Linked DNA regions of Drosophila melanogaster. Changing the gene in region 1 together with any one later gene gives a genetic interaction. Each region holds a gene or a part of one and is shown on either strand. Other genes may lie near its edges.

Region 1 (5,479 bases):
GAATGCCACTCGAATTGGGCATCGAGAAGTTTCCATTGAGCGCAACTCGCGTCGCGTGAGAGAAAGAAATGCGAAGAGGAGAGCAGAGCAGAAGAGCAGTAAAGTCGCGAAAAGCCGGTTTTGCGTAGACAGCTATGCCAAAAACGTTAATAACTAAGCGGAGCTCATTATGCGGCGATAGCGAAAATTCCACAAGTGCCAAAAATCTCCTAAATTGGTAGTTTTTCAATGAATGAACATGCCACACGATGGCACTCAGATTCTGTCACCCAAAGTCGGTTTTCTCAATGCAAAGCCATGTATATAAATGTGTTTATCATAAACTTTTATTAGCAGCCCAAAAACACAACTCTCTCACAAGGTCCAGCTCAGCTGATCAATCGGAAAAGGAAAAAGCTAAGTATTCACAATGATTCATCCGAATCAAGATCAAAACTGGGTAACTTGGGTAATGCGAAGTTGGGAAAAACAACAAAGGCACCTGCGAAGGCAGCGAGAGATAATAAAACGAAAGTGATGCGCGTGCAGAAATGGCAGGTAGATAAAAGAATGAGTGTGATGGTGAGGTGACGTAGGCAGCGGATCGAATTTGGCCAAAATCGGTTCCTAATCTAATAAGCGGCGAGATGAACTTCATTCGACGGACAAAGCACTAGGGAGTGGCTGCCCGAATCGAGTGGAATCTCGCTGGGAGAGCGAGCAGGATAAGAGCACATGGATTCGTATTTGTATTCGGATTCGGAGTCGACAGGAAGTTGCACACGCACACAGACAGCCACACTCACAAAAGGGCGAAAACGTGGCGCGCATACGAGAAATACTCAGAGCATTCGCATTCGAAGGTAGCAGATTCAGATTCAGAATCGAAATCAGTAAAAGAAGCCGAAGCGGAGTCAACTCCACTCAATTCGATTCACTCTGCGCTGGTGACGCGGCATCGCATGCTCAAGATATTTTCTGTACTTCTGTTCGTTTCATTTTGGTTCTGTTCTGTTTGGTTCTGTATTTCGCTCCGATAAAGAGCATTTATTTTGGCCGTCGCCGCAGAGGAAACGGTCCGTCTGTATTGAGTGCGATAAAGGCGAGCGATAGCGAAGGGGTGGGGCTGATGCCAGGCGCCTGTGGGCTGCATTATCAGGAACCAGTGTTGCACAGCACCGCAGACATTCGAACCGGCTGCGCTGATATCAGATTTCCCGGTCCCGGCCCCGCCCCCGCTCTCCACACCACACACTCATCGCCGCATGCAAGTGCATTGGTGATTACCGCGAAGCGAAGCTGCACCTCCTTAGTCACCGATAAACAGAAATCCATCCGTATCGGCTAGGTCGCCCAATTGGTCTCCCTGCTGGGTTGTATGATCACGCACACTCCCTCAAAAGCGTAGGCGGGAGAGGAGGGGGTAGCGGGCCTGCGCAGGAGTGGCGCTGCAGGGGGTGAAACTGACAAGGGCGAGGGCGAAGGGGTGGGAGTTGCTCTTTATCAAATGAAAGTTATCATGGCGGCCGCGAGAGGAAGACAGCGCGAGAGTCACACCCTTGAACTTGCGAAAATTCATTGTCAACTATCCGTTTTTCCGTCCGAATTCCATTCTATGGGTTTTCCCAACCGCTTTCCGTCCATTAGTCCATTCCGTTCGACGTACTCACCTCAAAGCCACTGGACTGCGCCCAAATGTTGCCGTCGTGGCCGGCGATGCACGCCTTGGTCACGCACTGCGAGGCCAGGAGTTGGTTGTCCACATAATCTTGCCAGCTCATGGTGCTTTGTTTGTCGTGGGTGCGGATTAAGTTGAACTGATATATATGGATCTGGATATGGATCGCTGTTGCTTTACCGCACGGCGAGTCGCACTTTCGTTTCGGGGGTCACACGAAATTGGCAGGGAGACAAAGAAAAACCGCAACACCGACGATTTTTTCTTGGGGTAACTTACTTTCAACTGCAACGAGAGGTGGAGAAAGAGAGAGAGAGAGAGAGATGGATTAACATTTATCAAATCGTATCGTATTTTATCATGCGGCAGTGGGTGTTGCATCCGCCCTTGACAAATTACCGGGTATCGGCGGAATTGTGTTATGCACATTTATGTATATACATATAAGTATATATATCTAGTGATTTTGATTGTGATGCATTGCACAAAGCGCCTAATTTTCCGCCTCCGAAAAACTCACATATATACACACACACGCACGGGGGATGAGACCAAGAGCAAGAGCAAGACCAAGGAGACCAAGACAGACAGAAACAGAAACCGTACGCCGCAGCTCCACACACACGTCCGACTCGCTGGGAATTTTCGAAGCGTTCGAGGCGGATTTCAAAAGTCGAATGAGCGCAAAGCAGAACCATAAACCGATTTTGAATTCGAGAAAACCCACTCGAGAGAGTGAGAGATGGAGAGAGAGTGGCGAAAGAGTGCGCGCTGCAGGGGGCTGCTTGCCTTGCCTCTGCTCCAAAGCGCTCAATTCCAAGCCGTGAGTCACCCGTTCACTCACCCACTGCCACTGCTTTCGAGTGGGGCAGAGAGTGAGCGAGCGAGAGCCGTAGCCAGGGCGAGTGCAACGGTGCGCCTGGAGTGGGTGTGTGAGCGAGACGGTCGTACGAGGCGGGCCGTTATTAATCAGCCGGCTGCGGACAATGCAAATGAGCGAGTGAGAGCAGACGATGACTCAACGGCGGCTCTCCGAGTGAGTGTTATGAATCGTCACTTTGTTGGCCGGCACTGAGTAACTGTCATAAATTAAAAATAGCCTTTAATTTCAACGCCTATATGTTCGAATCCCATCTCACATATCATAATGTGCTGCGCTGCACCGCACCCGCAATATGTTAGCATTGGCTGCTTGACAAATCGAATGGAATACCGAGTACCGAATGCCGTATGCCGAATACCGACCGGCTGCTGCTGAACTTTTCCCACTTAATTTTTTGCACACTTATACACACAGGCATACACACACACACACCCGCAGACGGCGACGCACAGCCAACGCGGTTGGCCAAGTAGCGCGTACATGTGTGGGTTTTCGCCATTTAAGGCGTGCACCCAGCACGAAAGTCGCTTTGTACGCAATTTACCCAAAGTGTTGGTCGGTTTTCGATTTTTGTCGAACCACCCCACGTTCAGTAAGTCTAGAGAAATCTCTTTCTAAACGGATTTCCAGGAAACCCACGGCACTCACACTGTTCACACGCTGCGGTAAAAATTCAGAGTGACCGTCGACAAGCGGTAGTACTGGAACACAAGTCGCTGTTCGCTCGAAACAATCGATGTGTGCCAAAATTCGATCACGATATTCCTCGCAATCGATTGTATTCGCTATTTGCCTTCGTAAGTCCCGGTTAGACCAGCGGCATGAAAAGTTTAAATTCACTTCCACATTCGAGTACTATGAGATAAGATTACTGTACTTAAACTCAAAAAGATTCAAAACAACACTGATCGTTAAGCTACTAAGACAAATAGCTGGCCGGTTCCAGTCCCACGATTTAAAAACAGTTCACTGAATAGCAGCATATGTAAAATTCCATACTTTCATATATTTGTATAATATGATTCACATAAGGTTGTTGTTCAAATGGTTGAATACTACAATTAAGTCTTTACAACAAGAGAATGTAATCTGTTGGAAAACAATATTACAATCAAATTTATTAAACAAATATAAGATTCGGGTTTAAATATTTATACTGGTGGAAAACTTTGATGGGCGTAATATCGATAGCAAATAAAATAGCGAAGTCAGGCACCCCAGCTCTGGGTCTGCAGCCCTGAACTTCAAGTGGCACCTCCAAAATAACGTAAAAAAGTGCAAAATAATACAAATTGAATTCAAAATATTTGCATTATTTTATGCTTTGTTTTTCTTTACCATACACACTGCGAAGCCGCAGCGAAATTGCCGGATATCCGCTAACATCTGGCGATAGTTGGCGATCGATCTATCGATAGTCGCTAATGTTTTCTTACATCACTAAAACTTTTGCAAGATGGAGCCTCTTTTGCTTGGTTTTAACAAATCAGTAGCAGCACGTGTATAAAAAGTGCCAAATAATTTTCAGAAAATGTTAGTATATACCCTAGATTAAGCGTTTGAAATGTAAAAAGCCGCAAGGCGATCTTGTGCCGCATCGATTCCGCAACTGCTTAGCATAATTTCCGCGTGTTTTAATGCAAAAAACGCGATTTTAAATTTCTGACGGTCAAAATGAGTGGAAAAAAATTACACGCCCGTATGACAGTGCAGGGAGTGGGAGTGAGAGGCAGCCACCATGCGAGCGAGAGAGAGCGAGCGCAGTGGTTGCTCCAAGAGAGTTTTGTTGCTGGACTCGGTCTTTGCACCCCTCCCCCTTCGCCTTGGCGAAACCTAGAACTCCGAACTGGGGACTTTTGTTGAAGTCCGGTGACGTCGGTGTCGCCACTTGACTGGATTTTATGCACTCTCGTCCGTCCGTTCGCTTGACTCATGACTGGACAATGACGCAGACCGCTGATTCTATCTTTAGTGGACGACGGCATTCGTGGGCTGATTTAGCCTTGCTCCAACTCAATTTTCGATTTGCTTTGGAATATTTGCCTGTCAGTCGGTTTTTTTTTTCTATCCCCACCCCGCCGTACTGTCAAAACTACTGCTATTTTCGATCAACTACTACCATTCGCAACTGGTGTTAGGCAACACTGGCGCCACTGTTACGTGCTAATATCGCTCGGCTGCTCTCGCCCGTTGACATTGACACGAACGACACTAGGGTCGTCCCGCTCGCACACGCTCAGGGGCGGACTCTCGCCGCTTGTCGCTCAAAAAGGCTGCCTAGCTATCGCTTTCGGTCTCATACGTAAAGTCACCGCTTCGCAGAGCGCATCGCAGCACAAACGTAACGGACTAAAAGCAAAGCGCTCGATAGCTCGAGAAAACAACACAGTCGGCGTTCGGCCCGAATTCTCCGTTATTCGTTCTAGACAAATAGGCAAACAGTTGATTGAGTGAACCGGGCCCAAGCCGTCGAAATTCAGGATATAAGTTTACCTAGTCAATTCTTTATTGTTGATAATGTGAGTGGTTGCCAAGCGGCGCTCGCGGTTTTCGATTCTCCCTCCACCAGCCTTACTTACTTTTCGCTTTTCTGCCATTCGCCATAACCAACAATTGTGGCTGGAAAATTTTTTACCCCCGTCCCGCTACTGCTTTTGTTGTTGTTTCCACTGTTCCGCCCCACTAACGCATTCTCGCTTTCTTGCAGGGATGACCGAAATGAGATACCTCAGGATGGCCCCGCCAGCATGGAACCCGAGGGCGTCATCGAGTCCACCTGGCACGAGGTGTACGACAACTTCGATGACATGAACTTGCGCGAGGAGTTGCTGCGCGGCATCTACGGTTATGGTTTCGAGAAGCCGTCGGCCATCCAGCAGCGCGCCATCATTCCCTGTGTGAGGGGTCGCGATGTCATTGCCCAGGCCCAGTCGGGTGAG
Region 2 (7,164 bases), on another chromosome or scaffold:
ATGTGGCTGATAGAGTCCAATCGACTGTGGCATGGCAATACTAGTGCCAGTCTCCAGGCGGACGACATGCACTTCATAGAGATTGTGCGCACGTTGCTGCAGATATTCGACGACAACGTGGAAACCTACTGGATAGCAAAGGGATTCTACAAGTACACCCGCGAACTGAAGAAGGAGTGCGTCAAGCTGAAGGAGCAAACGCAGAATATACTGAAGCGCGAAGATTTGTCCTTGCTTAAGTGAGTTTGCATATGGTTAGTCGGGTTATTTGACCAATTTTCTTCGATTACTCCTTATAGTCACCTGGAGCTTCTGGGCCTGTTTGATGGCAACTCAACGCTACTGGATAACTGGTATATAACCTGCTTTGCTGGAATAATCTGTACAACTCATTTGGTCAAGATATGGGACAAAGTCTGTGGAGGGTCCCGGAAGATTGTTGTTTTCCTGTTTGTAGAACTAGTTAAGGACATAAGGTCCTCGATACTAAAGCAAACATCTTTAGCAGACGTCAAAAGACTTATAGAAACGGTAAGTAAATAAGGAAACCATTTGCTAAGCCATAACTTATCCAAAATTTGCCTTAGGTAAAGGATCTTGACGGTGTTATTATCGTAAACAAGGCCATCAAATCACTACAAAACAACAGCAGCGAAGTCGAGTACACGCACTAAGTAAATCTACACTTTTATATTGGACATGTATATAGCAGAATGAACTAAATGTATTTGAAGACCACGTCCTTTTTATCGCCCACCGTTTGCAGTTCCAAGGTCACTGGACACTGCATCCAATAGGAGAGCAGCTCCTCCGTGTAACCAATAAGGAAGTACATTTTTCGCGGTGTAATCGCCTGCCGAATAAGGGCCGCGATCCTAATGGTGTTGTGCTGTCGCTTGATAATGACCTCGGAGCAGACGAGGGCATGCCATGTGCCGGTGACAAACTTGCGGATGAACACATCCTCTATGGCGGTCTGGGACGGACGCAGGGCATCCTTCATTGTTGCTAAGATAGAAGGTGGCCATCAAAATGCTTCCTTAATAAAATTTTCTCACAACTTACACGTGTTCCATGAGTTCCACGATTTGCGGTGGCCAATAAAATGCGGCGGATTGGCCATCTCGTAGGTAAGAGGCCTGTTTCGCTTTGTGGTTATGCGGTATCGCCCGGATTGCACGCGACAGCACACGGAGCTGGTGTGGAATCCTGACCGGCTGAGCTGCTGCACCTCGGTCGCCACCTGGGGCAACAGCTGCAATAGATTAGGTTATTTTAATATATAATTTGTCCTGTTTGTTGTTATTTAACACACCTTTTTCAAGAAGTTCATTATTTTGCGGCAGAAACAATTTTGCGTCCAGCAACAGCTGATTGACGTGACGTAACGGTTCGCTAGAGATGGACAAATTTATAGATAAGTATTCGATATTATTATTGTGTAGTGAAAATATTTTCTATAAAATAAAAAACAACATTGAAGGAAGTAGTTAAATAAAAACACAGAAAGATTAATTTTTAGTTGTGTAAATGCCCTTTTTAGTTCTTAAATGCAATACTTGGATCTCTATTGCATTGATTAAAATCGATTTTTATTTTGTTTTAAAGCGGGGCAGAGTTGTCAACAGTTGTCGGTGGGAAAATGTAATAATGTAATGTAATAAAATTATTGCACGCTTATTTAAAATATATAAATAAACAACATTTTGAGAGCTTCCTTAATAAATAGAGTTAACTTTGTATTAATCCCTTTATTCGAAAGAACTTTGACTGATCATTGAACTTGGGCAGAACTAGCTATAAATTAGCTTAATCGGTAGCACTGGAGCGCTGAGCCTGCGCGCTTGGAAAATGGCTTAAACGCAGGCCATCTCAAACAAAGATCGAGGATCTCAGATCAGAAGGAACTACCTGTTGAAGCGACCGTGCAACAGGACTCATCCAGAAGCAAAGCTGCAAAGGTTTATTCCCAGAATCCCTGGTATCCGAATGCACTAATAGGTGAGGATACATTCAAAGTAATGACGCTGAACGAGAGCGACGCTACTCGCCTGGAGCTGACGCGCAACTTCCTGGAACTGTCTCGAAATCCGGAAACATGCACCGCCCTGCGCAGCTCGGACTGTATCCAGCTTCTGGTGCAGATTCTGCACGCCAACGACGAAGGCCTCTCCACGGCGAAAAAGTACGCCAGCCAGGCGCTGCACAACATCGTCCACAATAATCCGGAGGAGAAGGAGCGCCAGCGGGAGGTGAAGATGCTGCGCCTGCTGGACCAGATCCTCGACTACTGTAACTTTCTGCACACCCAGTTGCAGAGCGGCGGTGAGGCTATCGCAGATGATGAAGATCGTCATCCGCTGGCGGCTATGAAGCTCCTGATGAAAGCCAGTTTCGACGAGGAGCACCGCCAGACTATGTGCGAACTGGGAGCCCTCAAGGCGATTCCCAATTTGGTCCACCTTGATCATGCGGTCCATGGACCGGCTGCCGGTAGGGAACAGTGCAACGCCCTCAGGAGCTACGGCCTCATGGCCCTCACGAATCTCACCTTCGGAGACGAGAACGTCCATAACAAATCGTATCTGTGCGGTCAGCGACAGTTCATGGAAGTGGTCATTGCTCAATTGAACACGGCTCCGGATGAACTGCTACAGGTGAGTTTAATCTTGGAGATTAAGAAAAAAAGATCGTAATTTAATTACCGTTGATCTCATCAGGTTCTTGCTGGTGTGCTTCGCAATCTTTCGTGGCGCGCGGACAAACACATGAAGACTATCTTTAACGAGCTGGGTACTGTGACCTCCTTGGCTCGAGCAGCCATGCAAAACAAGAACGAGAACACTCTCAAGGCCATACTTTCAGCCCTTTGGAATCTCTCAGCGCACTGCAGCACCAACAAGGCGGAGTTTTGTGCAGTAGACGGAGCACTGGCATTTTTGGTCGGAATGCTTAGCTACGAGGGTCCGAGTAAAACTCTTAAGATCATCGAAAATGCAGGCGGCATTCTTCGAAATGTATCGAGCCATATTGCGGTGTGTGAGCCGTACCGACAAATCCTAAGACGGTACAATTGCCTTGCCATTCTGTTGCAACAGTTGAAATCGGAGAGCCTAACCGTGGTAAGCAACTCCTGCGGAACTCTGTGGAATCTCTCGGCGCGCTGTCCCGAGGACCAGCAATACCTCATTGACCACAATGCCATCCCGCTCTTGCGGGCCCTAATCAGCTCCAAGAACTCCATGATTGCGGAGGGCAGTGCCTCGGCTTTGAAAAACCTAGTTAATTTCAGGGCCACTCAGGAGCTTATGCCCAATGGAGATGGTGGGTCACTGCCACTAGACAAGGAAGCTGGCCATGGAGGTACGCTGCCACGGAGATTCAGCTCACTGCGCCTAAGCTCAAATCCCACGGGATCGCTTAAGAAAGTGCGACCCTCAACAGTCAGCACAACTGGCTTTCTGAACAGAAAATGTGAGAGCCGAGAGTCCATTTACTCGGGCAAATCCGATTCCACTAAATACTCAACCAAGTCGGAGGGAGCGAAGAATCCCTTCGAAATTGTGACACCCACTGAAGAGCAGCCCATTGACTACTCCATGAAGTACATGGAGCACAAACCCAATAGCAGTAAGACCTTTGAGATCGACTTGGATCAGCCAACGGATTTCAGTGCTAGATATAAGGAGAGACGATCCGCTCAGACGGCACAGCCGGAGCTGAAGTCGGAGACCAATGAGATTAGAAGTAAGGAGTTGCAACTGACAAAGTCCTCCTCGGCCACGGAGCTGCGCAATAGTCCTGGCCTGGTGGCGGTTTCAGCAGCTAAGCAGAAAATTGCCACCGAAACGGAGACGGAAACGGCAGAGCGACCAATAAACTACTGTGAAGAAGGGACTCCCGGCAGCTTCAGTCGCTTCGACTCGCTCAACAGCCTCACAGAGAAACCGGAGAAATGTATGCCGCCAAAAACTCCAACGAAAACTGCGGTTCTCCCGGTGCACGTTGACGGAAATACGCCTCAAAACATCGATTCCGCACTAGAAACTCCATTAATGTTTTCGCGTCGCAGCTCTATGGACTCATTGGTTGGCGACGACGAAACGGTTGCCTGCGAGGACAATGGATCCGTGATCAGTGAATACAGCCGGATGCAGAGTGGTGTTATTTCCCCCTCAGAGCTGCCCGATTCACCCACCCAGAGTATGCCTCAATCTCCGAGAAGGGACAGAAAAGTGTCCACTCAAAATAACTTGGACACACCTGAACAGAAGCCCAGTACTGTGTTTGAGGACAAGTTGAACAGATTCCACGTGGAGCACACGCCTGCTGCCTTCTCCTGCGCCACCAGTCTAAGTAATCTGAGCATGATGGACGACTCTAATGCAAACGCTATTCGAGGACAGCGTGGAAATGACATCAACGGCAATGGGGATGCTCCTCGCAGCTATTGCACAGAGGACACTACTGCCGTGCTTTCCAAAGCGCCAAGCAATAGTGATCTGTCCATTTTGTCCATCCCGAATGATCTAAATGCGAATGAAGCGCAGCCAGTGCCTGCTCCGCGAGCTGATGTTACCGGAATGGACACTCGGATGCCGGCAGAAGATGCAATCTCTAAGATGCGCTGCGGTGGCAATGCATTGCCCAGTTATCTGCCAGTGTCGGATGAAATGAGCAAGTACTATGTCGAGGACAGTCCCTGCACGTTTTCGGTCATCTCGGGACTATCCCATCTCACTGTTGGCTCTGCTAAGGCTGGGCCTGTTCTGAAGCTGCCAATGAGGACTGCAGAAGAGGCTCAGGCACCCAAACTTCCTCCCAGACGTAGTGCCGTTCAAGGAGATGCGGAGCCACGCTTACCGCCGAAGAAAAGCGACTCACTGAGCTCATTGTCCATGGACTCGGATGACGACTGTAATCTTCTAAGTCAGGTGAGAAAAGGATACTTCATTCAAAACACTTGATATATTTCACCATATAAACATTTTGTGAGAGACTCACTCAAAAATAAGTGTCTTTGTAGATTTAGCAATCGGAATGTTGATATTTCACAAAAGTTAAATTTAAAATGCAGTCAGAAAATTCTCGCTAAAATCAGAAATATTAAAGTTGTTCCCTCTTTTTATAGGCCATTGCTGCGGGAAGTTGTCGACCTCAGCCCAGCGGTGCCAGTACCAGCTCCAGCCTGGCGAACGCTAGTACCAGCACTCTATGCAGGGAAAATGGGCAGTCAAAGAAGCAGGTGGAGCATGGCGATAAGCCGAACTACAGCTCAGATGACTCGCTAGACGACGACGACGATGATGCACGGTCCAAGTCGCTATTTGAGCAGTGCATTCTGAGCGGCATGCATAAGTCCAACGACGCCTTGGAGTCGGAGGGTGAGCCGCCGGGGCAGCGCCAGGAGATCAGTGCCCGGGATCGATTTGTCAGTAACCAGGTGCGCCAGATTGAGTCCATGTTGGCTGGGCGTCAGCACTAGAAGCGGATGGTTGGTTAATTGAGAAGCGCATGCATTTGTTTAGTGGCTTTTAATCTTGTCTACGCAATAATATTCTCACGGTCTCAATTTTCCTATAGTTCAGATTAAAAATTTGCACTTAAATTTAACTCTCCAACACGTGTAATATTATGTTTACCCTCTCACTAAACAATTAAGGAAACTAAAAAGGGTGATAAGAAATGGGATACAGTCGCGGTATAAATATAAATAAAAGTTGCGATCAACTGAGGTCCGGGTAACTCCTAACATGATGCTACTGTGATGAACTAGCTAGAGAGCTCAGTAGAAACGTTTTCGCGCGTTGCGATCCTTGAAGTAGGAGATGGCGAAGATGGCCACTGCAGCCGCCACGACAACCACGAAGAGAAGGATGAAGAAGATCTTGGCGTTGGACATTCCCGGCTTGGGATCTTCTTTGTGCTCGCGCGGGGGCTCGAATGTCTTGGCATTCGGTATGATATTGGAGCGCCGGATAATCTCATCGTGCTGCGAACAAGAAAGAAAGTAAAAAGATGGTTATTGCAACAAGAAAGTAAAACTGGTTTTCAGTAATATGATATAAATATTATAACACACGGCTTATAAAGATAAACATGATTAGGCATCAAACAATGTGTTTAAAGCCAGCTGCTTAATTATTACAAGTTGCAGCAATTAAAAACAAGTTCACTCTTTTTTCTTTATACGTATACGCAGTTATTGAAACTTAAGTCCGCTTTTGGGTTCCTTGCACTCCTTATCGCGTTAGCCAAATAGCAGACAGCTGAGTAATGCTTACTTCGCTTCCGAAGTTTGGCAAACAAAAGTGAACTTACATTTACGTTCAAGTCCAGGTCATAGAACTTGAAACTGTGAATATCGTGATTGTCGGACAGATCACCCGTCGTCGCAGACATGCCGAAGTGGTAGCCCGTGGGTAGCTCAACGTTGGCCACTACAAAGCAGTTCTTCCATTCGTTGCGGTTCTCCAGATCTGTGGAAACCGACAGAATGTCGTTTTCGTATCGAATGCTAACCAGCGTCTCGTACTCCACATTGCGGAAACGAACTTCGCAGCCGGCCAGCTGAGTGTGCGTTCCATCGCGATCGTGGTCGTAGCTCCAGCTGCCATTGTTCACCATGGCGCTGAGATATGGATGTTGGTGCTACAAATATAATGTTAATACATTTACATTCAATGCCTTGCGTAATGACATACGTTGTGTGGACCATTGTGATTGCTATAGGTGTCCAGAATGATGGCCAGTCCGGAGAAGTGATCCTTGCTGCCAAAGACCGGCCCGGTTTGCATGCGCTCCTTTGTGTACCAAATGGCAAATCCGTCGCCGAACAGTTCAGTTCCCTTGCCGTGCACCTTAAAGCCAACGTGCACTTCCCAATTGCGAGTCATCACGGGCTTTGGATTAAACATTAAACATCAATAACTATTGAACTGCAAAAAGTCGCTGAGAGAGACCAACTCTCCTGCTTACCGAGTAGTTCCAAAGTGCACCGCTCTTGGACTGTAAGTCCGGCGTCAGTCTTATATAGTTGCTGGTCACCATCGTGTTACCCAGGAAGTCCCAGTGTGGCAGGATCACGCCTACGCCTGCAATAGAGCCCAAGCCATGTTAGAGATACACGTACACTCCGTATCATCAGTGACCAATTACCAACCT
Region 3 (6,117 bases), on another chromosome or scaffold:
TTGACCCCCGTGCGAATTAGCCACCCCTTGAACTACCTGAACGACCGCCTGTCTGCTCCAAGGCGCAGGATTCAGAAAGGAACTCGAACCCGGTGGTTCGGAGTGGTTCATGCTGTGCATATTTCGGTAACAGCAAGCCAGAAGCGAGAGCAAGAAGTTTCCAAAAAGAGAAGAAGAAACAGAGGGTACCAAGACCCAAAAACTGTAAGCCCGATTTATACGGCATGGAGTTTTTATGACGCCGATTGCCACTGGCAGCCAACATAAAATATGCCAAAAGGGAGGAGCAGCGGAGGTGCCGAGAAAAATGACTTTCTTTTTACTACATTTGTTTGACCGTAAACAAGAATTAATGAGAGTCATAAAACCGTCAAACTTAAATTTCGAACAGGCGCACAGCAAAGTCAGCAGGCCGTGTACAGTGGGCGCTCTATAAGGCGAACAAATGTTGAAACTCAAACTTTTTACCTAATGCATTAATTGCTACTAACGAAAACTATTTGAAATATTCGTTCGATAATTCGCTTATATGTTTCTTAAGAACTTAACTATAAGGTTGCCTTTATTTGGCTTTGTATCGAGTAACTACTGTACATGAGAAAAGTGAGATAGACACCCACACACACACACGCACAACCATGTGCGAGCAATGTGCTCGGCAATTACCGTTGCCCATGGAACACGGTACCAAAAAAAGGGAGAGAAAAGCGTTAAAAAGGGAAGAAGGAAAGGGAGAAGCGGAAGAGAAGTAACTGACCTGCGATCGGGAAGGTGACCTTCCCCAGGGGCGCCGACTATACATATGTTTGTATGTATGTACATAGGTGCAGGGTATACAGAGGTATATCACTGTACATATATTGTGTATTCAGGATTGATAAGAATGCAGGACAAAAGGACCTCCGTCCTTGGAAAAGGGTCTGCGTTCATCTCAGGCTGTCTGGTTTTTTTAGGGGTGTGGAAAATTTCTCACACTTATCAGCTGTCGGAAAGATTTCAAAACTAATGAAGTCACATGGCGGCACATTGCATGCAAGGTAAACACGAATATTGTTTATAAAATTATACAAAACTTTATTTTCTATGTATTGTTCAGAGACATTTTTGGGAAACATCAGTTAGTTAAAACGTGTTTTAATCGTTGCTTAGTGGTAAACAATATAACTAGCATAAGTTGTTTTTGTATGAATGTGCGAAATACATGATATAAATTACAAATAGTCTACGTCTCTTTTTTATGCGATTTATGGGAATAATTTTGCACAATTTTTTGGATTTATTCATTCCCATCGAAACTAAAAACTAACGACAAATACAATTAGTGATAGGTAGGTAGGGGATGAAATGATTTCACGGGTACAATTATAAAATATAATTCTTGGAGAGACAACGCCGATGTGTTCGGCCAGCAAATGAACTCGTTGCCCACTCTCTCTCTCGGTGTCCACCGCTCCGCCGCTCGCTCCCACTGAGATGGTGACCCAGCGAAAGGAGCTGACGGGCTCCAGTTTAGTTCGGTTCCTAGTCTTACCGGAGGAACTCACTCCCAGCGGCCGGCTCGCGAGCAACTTGTGCTCCGTGGGCAAAGATGCCGGAGCCAGCTCTTGGCAGTAGCCGAAAACTGCTCAAGGGACTCCAGCAGATTACGATATCTTAGGGATGGGTGATGCAGGTAAAGATAGTTGGCAATGCGACTACGGTAACTATACGCATTTTTTAACGAACACGAAACGAACAGAAAATGAAATACGCTACAAATTTAAAAATGAAAACAAATTAAACTAAACTAGGTAAGTCAGGGTCTTCCAGTCCGCCTTGGACCGCACTATTTCCTCTGGCTCTGGCCCACAATCGAGTCCATCAGCGCACCGGTCAGCTCCGTTCGCAGCGCGATCTTCTGGAACTTGCTGCCCTGGTACTTGTTGTAGATGGCCTTCAGCTTGGCCTGAGGAGCGTCCCGGGCCAGTTTCGCGATCAGCCGGGTAATCGGACGCAAGTGCGCGGCCGAGTATCGCGAGTAGAAGGTCAGAGTGGGCGTCCAGTGACGGTCGTTGAATCCTGTACCGGCCCGGTGGTTTCCATTGAGCAAGTGCAGCGACAGGAACAGTGAGGCAGCTGCAATCTAAAGGCGCCGCAAAAAATATTACATATACCTATGCTAAATAAAAGGGGATAGTGTATTGAAACCCACCTCCGATGGCCTGTAAGTGGCCATTTCGTAGTCCACGGAAGCTAACTCGATGAAGTACTTGGACATCGTATGGTGCTCGTCCTCGGCGCCAGCAGCCTTCGAGTAGCGTCGAAGGAAGTGAATCGGCAGCGGACGCGACAGATTACAGTCGATGGCCTTGAAGATTTGCAGCTCCATCTGTCGGATCTGCCGGGCAGTGTAGGTGTCGTCCGTGATGAAGACGAAATCTCCGATTGCCGGCGGGAACAGCTCCTCGTACTTGGTGGCTATGAAGAGTGCTGTCACTCCCACCAATTGCAAGTACGTGCGTTTGGTGTCCTTGACCACCTGCAGGTAGCGATCAATGATAGCCACCGCCAGCTGGAAGGTCTCTGCAGCCAGATGGAACTGCAGGTGGACTTCGTTGATCCAATCGATCAGCACGGCTCGCATCTTGTGGGACACCTCCTTCTGTCCGGCCAGGTGATCCTTGTGAATGGGCTGCTCCAGCTCCACCTGATACAAGTAGTCGTAGATGTCGTTTACATATTCGGAGACCAGTACCAGGTTCTCCTTGTCATTGGCATCAATGTCCTCGATTCCAGCCAAGCGCTTGCTGGAAAGGGACATGGTGGTGGGCATCGTAGATGTGGTCGTAGTGACTGCACTGTTGCCCCTAATAAGGGGCATCCTGGTCGCATCCTTTTTCACTTCCAGTGAGTCCTTCTTGGTTTCTGGCAGTTCCTTCTTGGTCTCTGCCTCTTTGCGGGAAACAGCTACTGGTTCCCGTCGAATTCCTGAAACTCCCATCACGGGTTTGGCCAAAGCGGCACGCAGTTTGGTCAGCGACTTCTTCGACAGATTGCTGTCCTCGCGCTTTAAGGTGGGCTCGTTCACGTTCTCGGAAGAACTGGACTTGACTGTAACTTTGGGGATTCAAGATGAATTGGGGTCAGTATGATGCAAGCCATTCAAAAATTGGAAATGGTAGATGATGATGATTGGTAGATGATTGCTCTTTTGCTTACCTTTAGTGGGTTCTACAGTGGTCTTGGTCGGAACGCGATTGCGCACCGAATTCGAACGCAAAAACGCCGACACGCCCCCCTCGTTGACCTTGGGCGGAACGGCGCCATTGCCATTGCCATTGGTGCTGCCCAGTGGCTGTTTCTTCCAGTGGCTGTCCACCCGAGCTTTGGCATTGCGCAGGGCGTCTGTGAGCTTGAGATCCTTGGAGCTGCTCGGTGGAGTAACCACATGTGATTGCGAATGGAATACTTGATACTGGTTCAAACACTTACTCTTTCTGTGCCGCATCCTTCGCTGCGATGGGACGACTTATGCCGCGATTCTGCAAATCGCCCAAGGCCGCGCGTTTTGTTGTTGCCTCCATGGAAGGAACCGTCAATTTCTTCAATTGCACTTGCTTGAAGTTCTCCGAAGCGTTCTATCGAATATTGTTTAATTAGTTTTAGAAAACAAATGGAGAAGTGCAACAAGTATAGTTGAATGCATATCTGCACTTTGAACCCTATTCTTTAACATCTTTAATTATTGAGCACTGATTTTAATTATTTTAAATTGTTAAAGCAAGATCAGTTTGTTGCATAATAATGACTTGATCATGAAATGCACCTTTTCAAGGGCGGCCATTTTGGGAAAAGCACCGCAAGACTGATCCTCGATTTATCTCCTCTGTGATTTGGTGCGAAAAATAGGTGTGGAGAGTACTAATTAACGGTGCAAGCACCGCCGGTAGAAAATTGCGCCAAAATGTGAGCAAGGCAACTGCAACAACGACAACAATGAGCGCCCGGGACAAACGGCACTCTTTCTTTTCCCCCTCCCTTCACACACTCATCGCACTATCGCAGCGTCCTCTTTGCCCCTCTCTACATGACCACGCTGCAATGGCGTCTCGCTGATGACGAGCCCACTAGTTTGTGACTTTACCATGACCTTTTCGCGGATGCCACGGTAATCTTAATGTTCTAGGGATCAACTCACCTCATCGCCACGCATTTTCAGTGTTGTGCCCACCATTTTGATTGCTTCTTTTCTATCTGTACAAACACAATTAACACGAAGATAGGCAGACGCTTGGCTATCACTTGGTTTGGTTGACTTTTGATCGCGTTTCTGTGACCGAACGCTTGTTTAGCTGTTGAATTTGTTGTCCGAATATATGATTACTAATAGTTTATAATTTACAAGTCGAGTGCGGGATTGTCAATTCTCCGAAAACCTGATCGAGTTTTTGCACACGAAGCGAGGCCAAGCTGCCGTTTGAATTTGAAAATGGGAATGGGGATGGAAGTAAACTCGATGATAAATGCCGATGAGTTTGACGATATCGATTTCTGGACTTAGTTCCCTTTTAAGCCGCAGTGGCGCTCGAGAATAATCGATTTATTAGAGCAGAGCATGCAAAATAGAGATGCGATACGTGCGATAATTTTCGATAGTTTTAGTGTGACCAGTACTGGTGCACAGCTTATCGATGACAGGGCTGAAACAGTGCTACCCATAAATTTCAAATTTAAATTTAAAATTAGCCGAAAAAGAAAACGTTACAGTTTGAAATTTCTGTTAGATATTCAAGCTCAATCCATTTTATACATATTTTAAAAATGAAAACTTCATGGATTAAATTTGATAGTTGGTTAAGGTTCCCCATTTTAATAAAGCCATCGCTTTGACTGCCAGTCGTCACTCGGTTGCACCATCCATTGATTGCATCAATTAAAAGTTGATCACTTCAATTGGCTGTGTTCGGTTTGTTTTTGTGCCCCCCTGATTTGCATTCGCTGATTTAAGATTTCCTGCTGCCACAGGCCGCAGAACATCGAAACTCCGCGGCGGAAATGCAGCATAATTCTTGCCACTCCGCAGCCTTTTTTGCTGATGATCAGTGTCAAGTTTTCGTCTGCTCCATCATTTTCAAGCACTTGACCACAAAACAATCGCCATCGCCTCAGAATTTTGCCTCTGTTTTTGTTTAGTACCCCAAACTCTCCTGTTTTTTTTTTGTGGCCCTTTGCTGCGTCTTAACGGTTGGCGCATTCTTCTTCTCTTCTTCCGGCGCTCTGGCTCATTAGCATATATTTATGAGTCTGTTTGCGCTCCAAAAGTACTTTTGCGAACTCCGGCCAAAAAGCCGAACGAGAATGGAGCGCCAGCCGACGATCGCGAGCTCGAGTTTTCCGTGATTTTCACATTTCATTCGCAAAAGTGCCGCCGTCGCGAGTGGTTGCCTCGCTCTCGCCGCCTCTTTCTGCGCTTCTGTCGCCGTCTCTTTCGTCGCCACGAAAAAAGTCCTTCGATCGATCCAACGCGCATTGACCTCCAGTAAATCGTTTCAAATTTTAAATGCCCCAAAGCGGTCAGATTTCGGCGTGATTTAGCGATTTTTAGTTAAAAAATATACATATAAAGTGCTTTTCGGCTATGGACATAAAACCAGAAGATCGTTATGCTCCAGAGCCGATGATCTATATGCCGTGTGTGTTTGTTGCTGGCTGCTTAATTGTGCGCTGGCGTTTAAATAAAATCAAGTGCGTTTAAATGACAAAAGACTGGCATTATATGTACAATATATTGGCAATTCAGAACTGGAGCTGGAGCTAAAATAGCATTTTTCAAGCACCATTTGGTCTTATCTCGAGTGTCGATCCATAAGGAAGAACTTAGGCAACAAACTAAAGTACACCAGCCACTAAAATAAAACGAAACATAAATAAGATAGAGTGCAAAAAAAAAAAAAAAGTGGCCCACAACAAATGACTCGTAATGCAATGCCTGGGCAATTAATTAGTGCATAAACATTTGAATTAACAGCCGTAAAAGTTGGAGCCCCGTACACGATCGCGCCTTCATTTGGCTCTCTCTCCCCTTTTGAGAAATCGGGCTCCAAGTTTTCCACCCTCGATTTTCGCCGCTGGAAAATG
Region 4 (5,272 bases), 2.1 Mb from region 1:
CGACAAACTGCAAAACTACCGCCATAATATTCTGGTCAAATCATTGTTAAACCGACAGCCAAACACAAAAGCCACCTTTGAGGTTTCTATGCATTTTTTTTTTTAAATATGGAAATTGTTCTCGTTTAAATCAAATAAAAGAGACAAAATGTTCATTTAATTGCTTTTCCGCCCAGTCAGCCCAAAATGCAAAATAAACATGACCAATAAAAATCAAACTTCGACACAATGCGAAAAAGGGGAAAGGTTGGCAAAAGTTTTTCGACTCCTCATTAGCTTTTGTCTCCATTGGGGCATTAAATTGGAACGAATATTTGTTTGCTCGGTTCGACTAATTGCGCTGCTAATTTCAATTGTTCGCATTGTCGGCAAGCAATAATAATGCAAAAATTGTAATTACAAATTAACAATTGGTCGTCTGGGTCCCTCGGTGACCTAAAATTAGATTGTGTAAATTTGCAAATTAATTTGCCATTGCACAAAGAGCTCCGTGCAATTCAGCTCGGCAAAATCAGAGCACACAATATCAATTTATTTACTGTGCAATCTGTAAATAGTAGAACATGGAGTCATTAAATTGCAACTGCTAAAAAAAAAACTTGAAAATTTAGTACTGCCAGTCAAAAGTCCAAGTGAGTTGCATTTACATAAAAATAGGCTAACAAAAAAAATATCTACACAGCGTCATACAAGACCGCAAAAATATGGAAATTCAAATAGAAACAGTATCTTTTAGCAAAAAGAGAAAATCTTTAAAATAAAATCATAATAGCCGGCAAATGGAATAATCAACAGACATCAAAACGAATTCGAATTAAATTTTAAACTGCGGGAAGCTTAAAACCGATTTTGTAAACTACAACTGGGTGAAAAGTTCAATACAAATACTTTTATTTACTTTTCACCTTCATTTGTGAAAGGTGATTACCGAAAAATCATCAGCCAACTATAGCAAAACTTTCTCCCAACTTGCGGATGAAACAAAAATGATACAAATTCCTTTTTGCTTTCTTTTTTCGCTCTAAAATTATAAAATCGAAATGGGTTGTAAAAACAATCAGTTGTACAGAATTCTTTGCTTGCTTTCGATTGTTAGTAAAACCCTTGAGCACTCAGTGATATTGTAAAAATACACAAAATATTTAATTGCACAGCAAAGTATAAAAGAAGGGGGAATTATCTTTAATCCAATACTTGTTTAGCTCTGTTATGAAATATTTGAGTAATAAATCCACATAATTGATACTTTTAACAAACAAAATAAAAACGTAATATGTGAGCATTAAAAATGAAAAATGTATCAGTATTTTATTTGAATAATTGCAAGCGGAAGCAAGGAATTTAGTAAAATAAAATAATTTCGTTTTTGAATGAAGGTTACATAAATTTCTCTTAGCGATAAAAACTATTTAATGGATATTAAAGATTTAAGGACATTGTAAATAGATAAACAGAGTAAACCAAAGAGTTTAGAAATTTAATTTGAAATAAATGTGTTTAAAACATAATCGAAAATATTTATTAGAATAGTGAATAATATCTGCATTTTTATGAATGGGTTACTGTGGCGTTGAGTAAGATACATCTATAAATGGTATTTCTTATTTAATTAATGATCTTACTTTTAACTATGTATAATAAAAAAATAGTTTTAAAAATAGTTAAGGAGTTTTATTTAGTCCCCGAACAAACTCAGACCACCCACGCATTTTTCAAGTATCCACCTAGATATAAACAAAGATGTACTGGTAATCCAAAACCAAATATGATCAAAATAGCCAATAACTTTAGTCTAAGTCTGCGACTATATTAAACTGTCCATTTTCGTTCTATAATTTTTACTCAAACTAAATGTAAACTATTAAATCTGCTTTTAAAAAAAAAAAGAACCGAGAGAACAGAAATGTTCACGCCAGGCGATTGAAACATTTTACTGACCTTTTTAGTGCGAAACCAAAAGTTTAAACTAATTTTAATTGTAAACCTAGACAGTAATGATATACGATATATTATACAATGTAAATCAGAATATACGATAATTATAAAGTAAATAAAATGAAATTTAAAACAAGCAGTTCGTCTACACCGTTCAATTGGGTTAGGCATACAAAATTCTGTCAAAATTTGTGTAATTTTTCGTTTCCTTTTTTTTGTTGTATATCGTTTTGGTAAGATGATTGTGTATCCAATGGAAGAGCTCTATCCGGCTATGATGGTCATAGCCATCACATTGTTAGCCCTTCTGCAATGGGGTATTCGTGCCACAATTAAGCCCAAAATATTGGGCCCACAGAAAAACGCAATAAAAAATGGAGTAAACAACAAAAGGAGGAAAGTCCTCTCCGCCATGCAGGTAAATTGAAAAATGTTTGCAATTGTTTTTACCATCTATCTATGCTCTTTTTGCGGTGCGCACAATTAAGGTGGAAAAATGTAGATCGACTGTCAGATATTCTTACAGAAACTGAATATATTTTGCCTATCTGAGCATTAAACAACAATGACCATTAATGATTTATCAGATTTAAAGACCAGTATATATGTATAATATATAATTAATAATCTTCATATATATTATTTTTAATTACTACAACTTAGGCACAACACTAGTATTTTTAACAATCATTGCACTTAACAGATTTTTGTTTTGATTTTAAAAAGTGTATTCAATTATTTCGCAACTTTAAAACTCAATTTTTGTGGAATTTTATTTTTTGACTGCTTGGCAACTCTGACCACCAATGCGTGCCTGTGTGTGTGTTGCTTGTCAGTCTGCGTGTGTGTGTGAGTTTGCGCTGCTGGCAAACCGCAAAATGGTGACATTGTGCAAATAAAAAACAATTTACGATAAACATCAAATTTCCACAAATTACCTTATATTTTACGTGAGTTGCGAAACAGATTGTAAAACGCGAAAACACACACAAACCGAGGGAAAAGTGAAAAAAAAGAAAACCGCGATTCGCAGATTTTACACTGCAATGAACATTTTGTTTCACTGTTCACCATTGTTTGCCAAGTGTGGAATAGGGGCGAGAGGTTTGGAAACTTGGGGGCGTGGCTAAGAGAGGTGCCACTTTAAGCGTGCCGCATGCCCCCACCTGAATCTCGAATTTTGCAATTATTTTTATTGCTCGCCATTTTGCTCGTCTGATGTTTTCCACGTTTTTTTTTTTCACCCCCCAGCTGCAACCTGACGGGGGTTGGGGAATGTGTTTGGGGGCAGAATAGAGGTCGTAGGCCATTTCGAGGGCCCTTCATAAATTTCCACAGTGCGGAAGAAGGAAAAAAAATTATTCTTTATATGAGGGAAATAAATAAAAAAATGCTTGTTAAGCTGCGGCGCTGTATGTTTGCGCATAAAAAGCATACAAATTATGCAGGCACTGTAAGAGATTAAAAACTAAATAAAAATAAGTGTGAAAAATTGCTTCCTAAATATATAACGAGAAACCCTTTTCAATCTTAAATAGTATCATTGATCAAACTTTTCAATCGCACCTTTATCAACACCTCAGATTTTCAGAGCAAAAGAGATTTGCAGCCATCTTGACATTTGTCGGCCAGTATGAGGCGCCACTTTCCCACGATTTTCCATTTCGAAGAGCTCATTCCTGCCCCCTAATTGATGTCGCCAGGTGTCGTCGAACCACATAAACAGGGCTCAACGGCAAAAAAAAAAGAAATCCAGAACAGCCAGTTCACTGGCCGCATTGTGCGCCAGAGGGCCAATAATTAGGAGTGTCTTTAAGATGGGTCTAAAAAATGATAAGAGGGCTGGAAAGCAGATAGCGACATGACCAACTCAAATAGGCAGCGGGGAAACTTGGCCTAGACTGTGTTGACTTGCTGGCCAATGTAATTAGGGAGCATTAGGATTAGACCGACTGTTCCCAAGCAGCGGATAACAAAGCACTGCACAGAGAGAAGATAATTAGGTCTAATTTGTACTATTAAATATACTTCTTTAAAGGTATTAAATAAAAATTCTACTTAGCTCGTGGGAATATCAGAAATTAAATGCCAAGTAGTTGTTAGAAAAATATTGAATAATCCTGAGAAACATACTTCTGATTTTCAGTGCAAACGCAATAAGCCAACTAAAACTTGGCCAACGGCAAGTTGGAGAGAAGGAGCAGAAAATGTGGTAAACTTTTTGCTGTTTTGGCGTAAACAAAAATAAATCAATTTCTTGGTGCGCACAATTGTTAAGATAGTAGATAGGACAGAGTCCATAACGACAGGACCGAACAACAGGATAAGTCCGCAGAGTCATGTCAATGGCCGGCGGCTTTCGAGAAATGGAAATTTCGAAAGACGCCAGGCATTTTTCCTTAGATTCTTTTGCAAATATTCCAAATTCAACGGAAAGTGGAATAATATTTGCACGACTTGCGTATGTAAAGCCACTTATACCTGGGACCATGCTGATTGCATTTGGAAGTATTTTCAGGTGCCTGTGGCAAATTTAAATATTCAAGTGACCTTTAAGAAGAAGTTTTTATAAACAAAAACAATTTAAACATTTCTTCTTGGCACAACTCATATACAGAGTTCCGTGGATTTCCGTGGCATCGCCGATAATTATTTCTTGAAACATGCTAGAATTCAATTTCTAAAACTCCAATCAAATTACCAATATACACGTCTCGAACAGAAACCTAATTTGAATGCCAGCGAAGCGGGTGAAATGTAGTTAACTTTCAGTCGATTTAGTTTGGTTTCGAGCTCCCTTCAATAACCCTTGTTCTAAGCTCCAAGTCCCCCATACCGTCACCATTAGTTCTTATTCCCCGGGTTCTTGTCGCTATTTCTGCTGTTCCTGCTGTTGCATCGCATTCTCATTGACAAGTTTAATTGATGGGCGTCAGCGTCAGCTTTTGGCTTCAGCTCGACGGAGTTTGGGGAAAAGGCCATGGCCAAGACACCATCCCGCATACCCCACTTTGCCCATCACACTCTGACCCCCGTTGTACAGTACACCCTCGATTACCGGAATGGCGACGCGACAAAACCGCAGAATCTAATTTGGCACAAACCACCAAAGCAATTAAAGTTGCAGCTCTGCAAACGGTGTCCGATGCGAATGTTCCCCAACTGTCTATCTGTCTCTGTCTTTCCCTCGGCGCGTTTGTGTGTGTGTGTGTGTGTGTGTGTGTGCGAAGGTATCGGTGTGGGTGAGTCCCTGTGTCGGTGAGGTGTCACTGCTATATGAATCGCGATAGCAATCCAGAAAATATCACACTTTTGACCATTATGCGGCTTAAAAATG

Evidence for each region.
Region 2: of chic (region 1) and Apc2, changing one suppresses a phenotype caused by changing the other (phenotypic suppression), as found in Drosophila melanogaster (one study listed by BioGRID).
Region 3: of chic (region 1) and CycB, changing one suppresses a phenotype caused by changing the other (phenotypic suppression), as found in Drosophila melanogaster (one study listed by BioGRID).
Region 4: of chic (region 1) and capu, changing one enhances a phenotype caused by changing the other (phenotypic enhancement), as found in Drosophila melanogaster (one study listed by BioGRID).

The regions. Positions count from the first base shown.
Region 1 is NT_033779.5:5,977,763-5,983,241, forward strand, and holds the start of chic (chickadee), read right to left. Parts: upstream 3,257-5,479; 5' UTR 3,191-3,256; exon of another isoform or gene 3,085-3,190; intron 2,720-3,084; exon of another isoform or gene 2,447-2,719; intron 2,340-2,446; exon of another isoform or gene 2,178-2,339; intron 1,943-2,177; 5' UTR 1,761-1,942; coding exon 1,650-1,760; intron 1-1,649. Other genes in the region: eIF4A (eukaryotic translation initiation factor 4A), read left to right, coding at 4,072-4,073, 5,248-5,474. UniProt on the Drosophila melanogaster protein: Binds to actin and affects the structure of the cytoskeleton. At high concentrations, profilin prevents the polymerization of actin, whereas it enhances it at low concentrations. By binding to PIP2, it may inhibit the formation of IP3 and DG.
Region 2 is NT_033777.3:24,162,153-24,169,316, forward strand, and holds Apc2 (adenomatous polyposis coli 2), read left to right. Parts: upstream 1-1,813; 5' UTR 1,814-2,021; coding exon 2,022-2,657; intron 2,658-2,720; coding exon 2,721-4,934; intron 4,935-5,131; coding exon 5,132-5,485; 3' UTR 5,486-5,785; coding exon of another isoform or gene 5,786-5,992; 3' UTR 5,993-6,112; downstream 6,113-7,164. Other genes in the region: TBC1d7 (TBC1 domain family member 7), read left to right, coding at 1-239, 300-531, 588-674; mRpS24 (mitochondrial ribosomal protein S24), read right to left, coding at 719-1,008, 1,066-1,255, 1,316-1,333; CG5510 (uncharacterized protein), read right to left, coding at 5,786-5,992, 6,322-6,651, 6,705-6,902, 6,979-7,094, 7,163-7,164.
Region 3 is NT_033778.4:22,802,469-22,808,585, forward strand, and holds CycB (cyclin B), read right to left. Parts: upstream 4,481-6,117; 5' UTR 4,214-4,480; coding exon 4,178-4,213; intron 4,032-4,177; exon of another isoform or gene 3,824-4,031; coding exon of another isoform or gene 3,806-3,823; exon of another isoform or gene 3,618-3,805; coding exon 3,472-3,617; intron 3,408-3,471; coding exon 3,199-3,407; intron 3,097-3,198; coding exon 2,192-3,096; intron 2,123-2,191; coding exon 1,826-2,122; 3' UTR 1,053-1,825; downstream 1-1,052. UniProt on the Drosophila melanogaster protein: Essential for the control of the cell cycle at the G2/M (mitosis) transition.
Region 4 is NT_033779.5:3,899,676-3,904,947, reverse strand, and holds the start of capu (cappuccino), read left to right. Parts: upstream 1-2,087; 5' UTR 2,088-2,353; intron 2,354-5,272. UniProt on the Drosophila melanogaster protein: Acts as an actin nucleation factor and promotes assembly of actin filaments together with spir. May play a role in intracellular vesicle transport along actin fibers, providing a novel link between actin cytoskeleton dynamics and intracellular transport.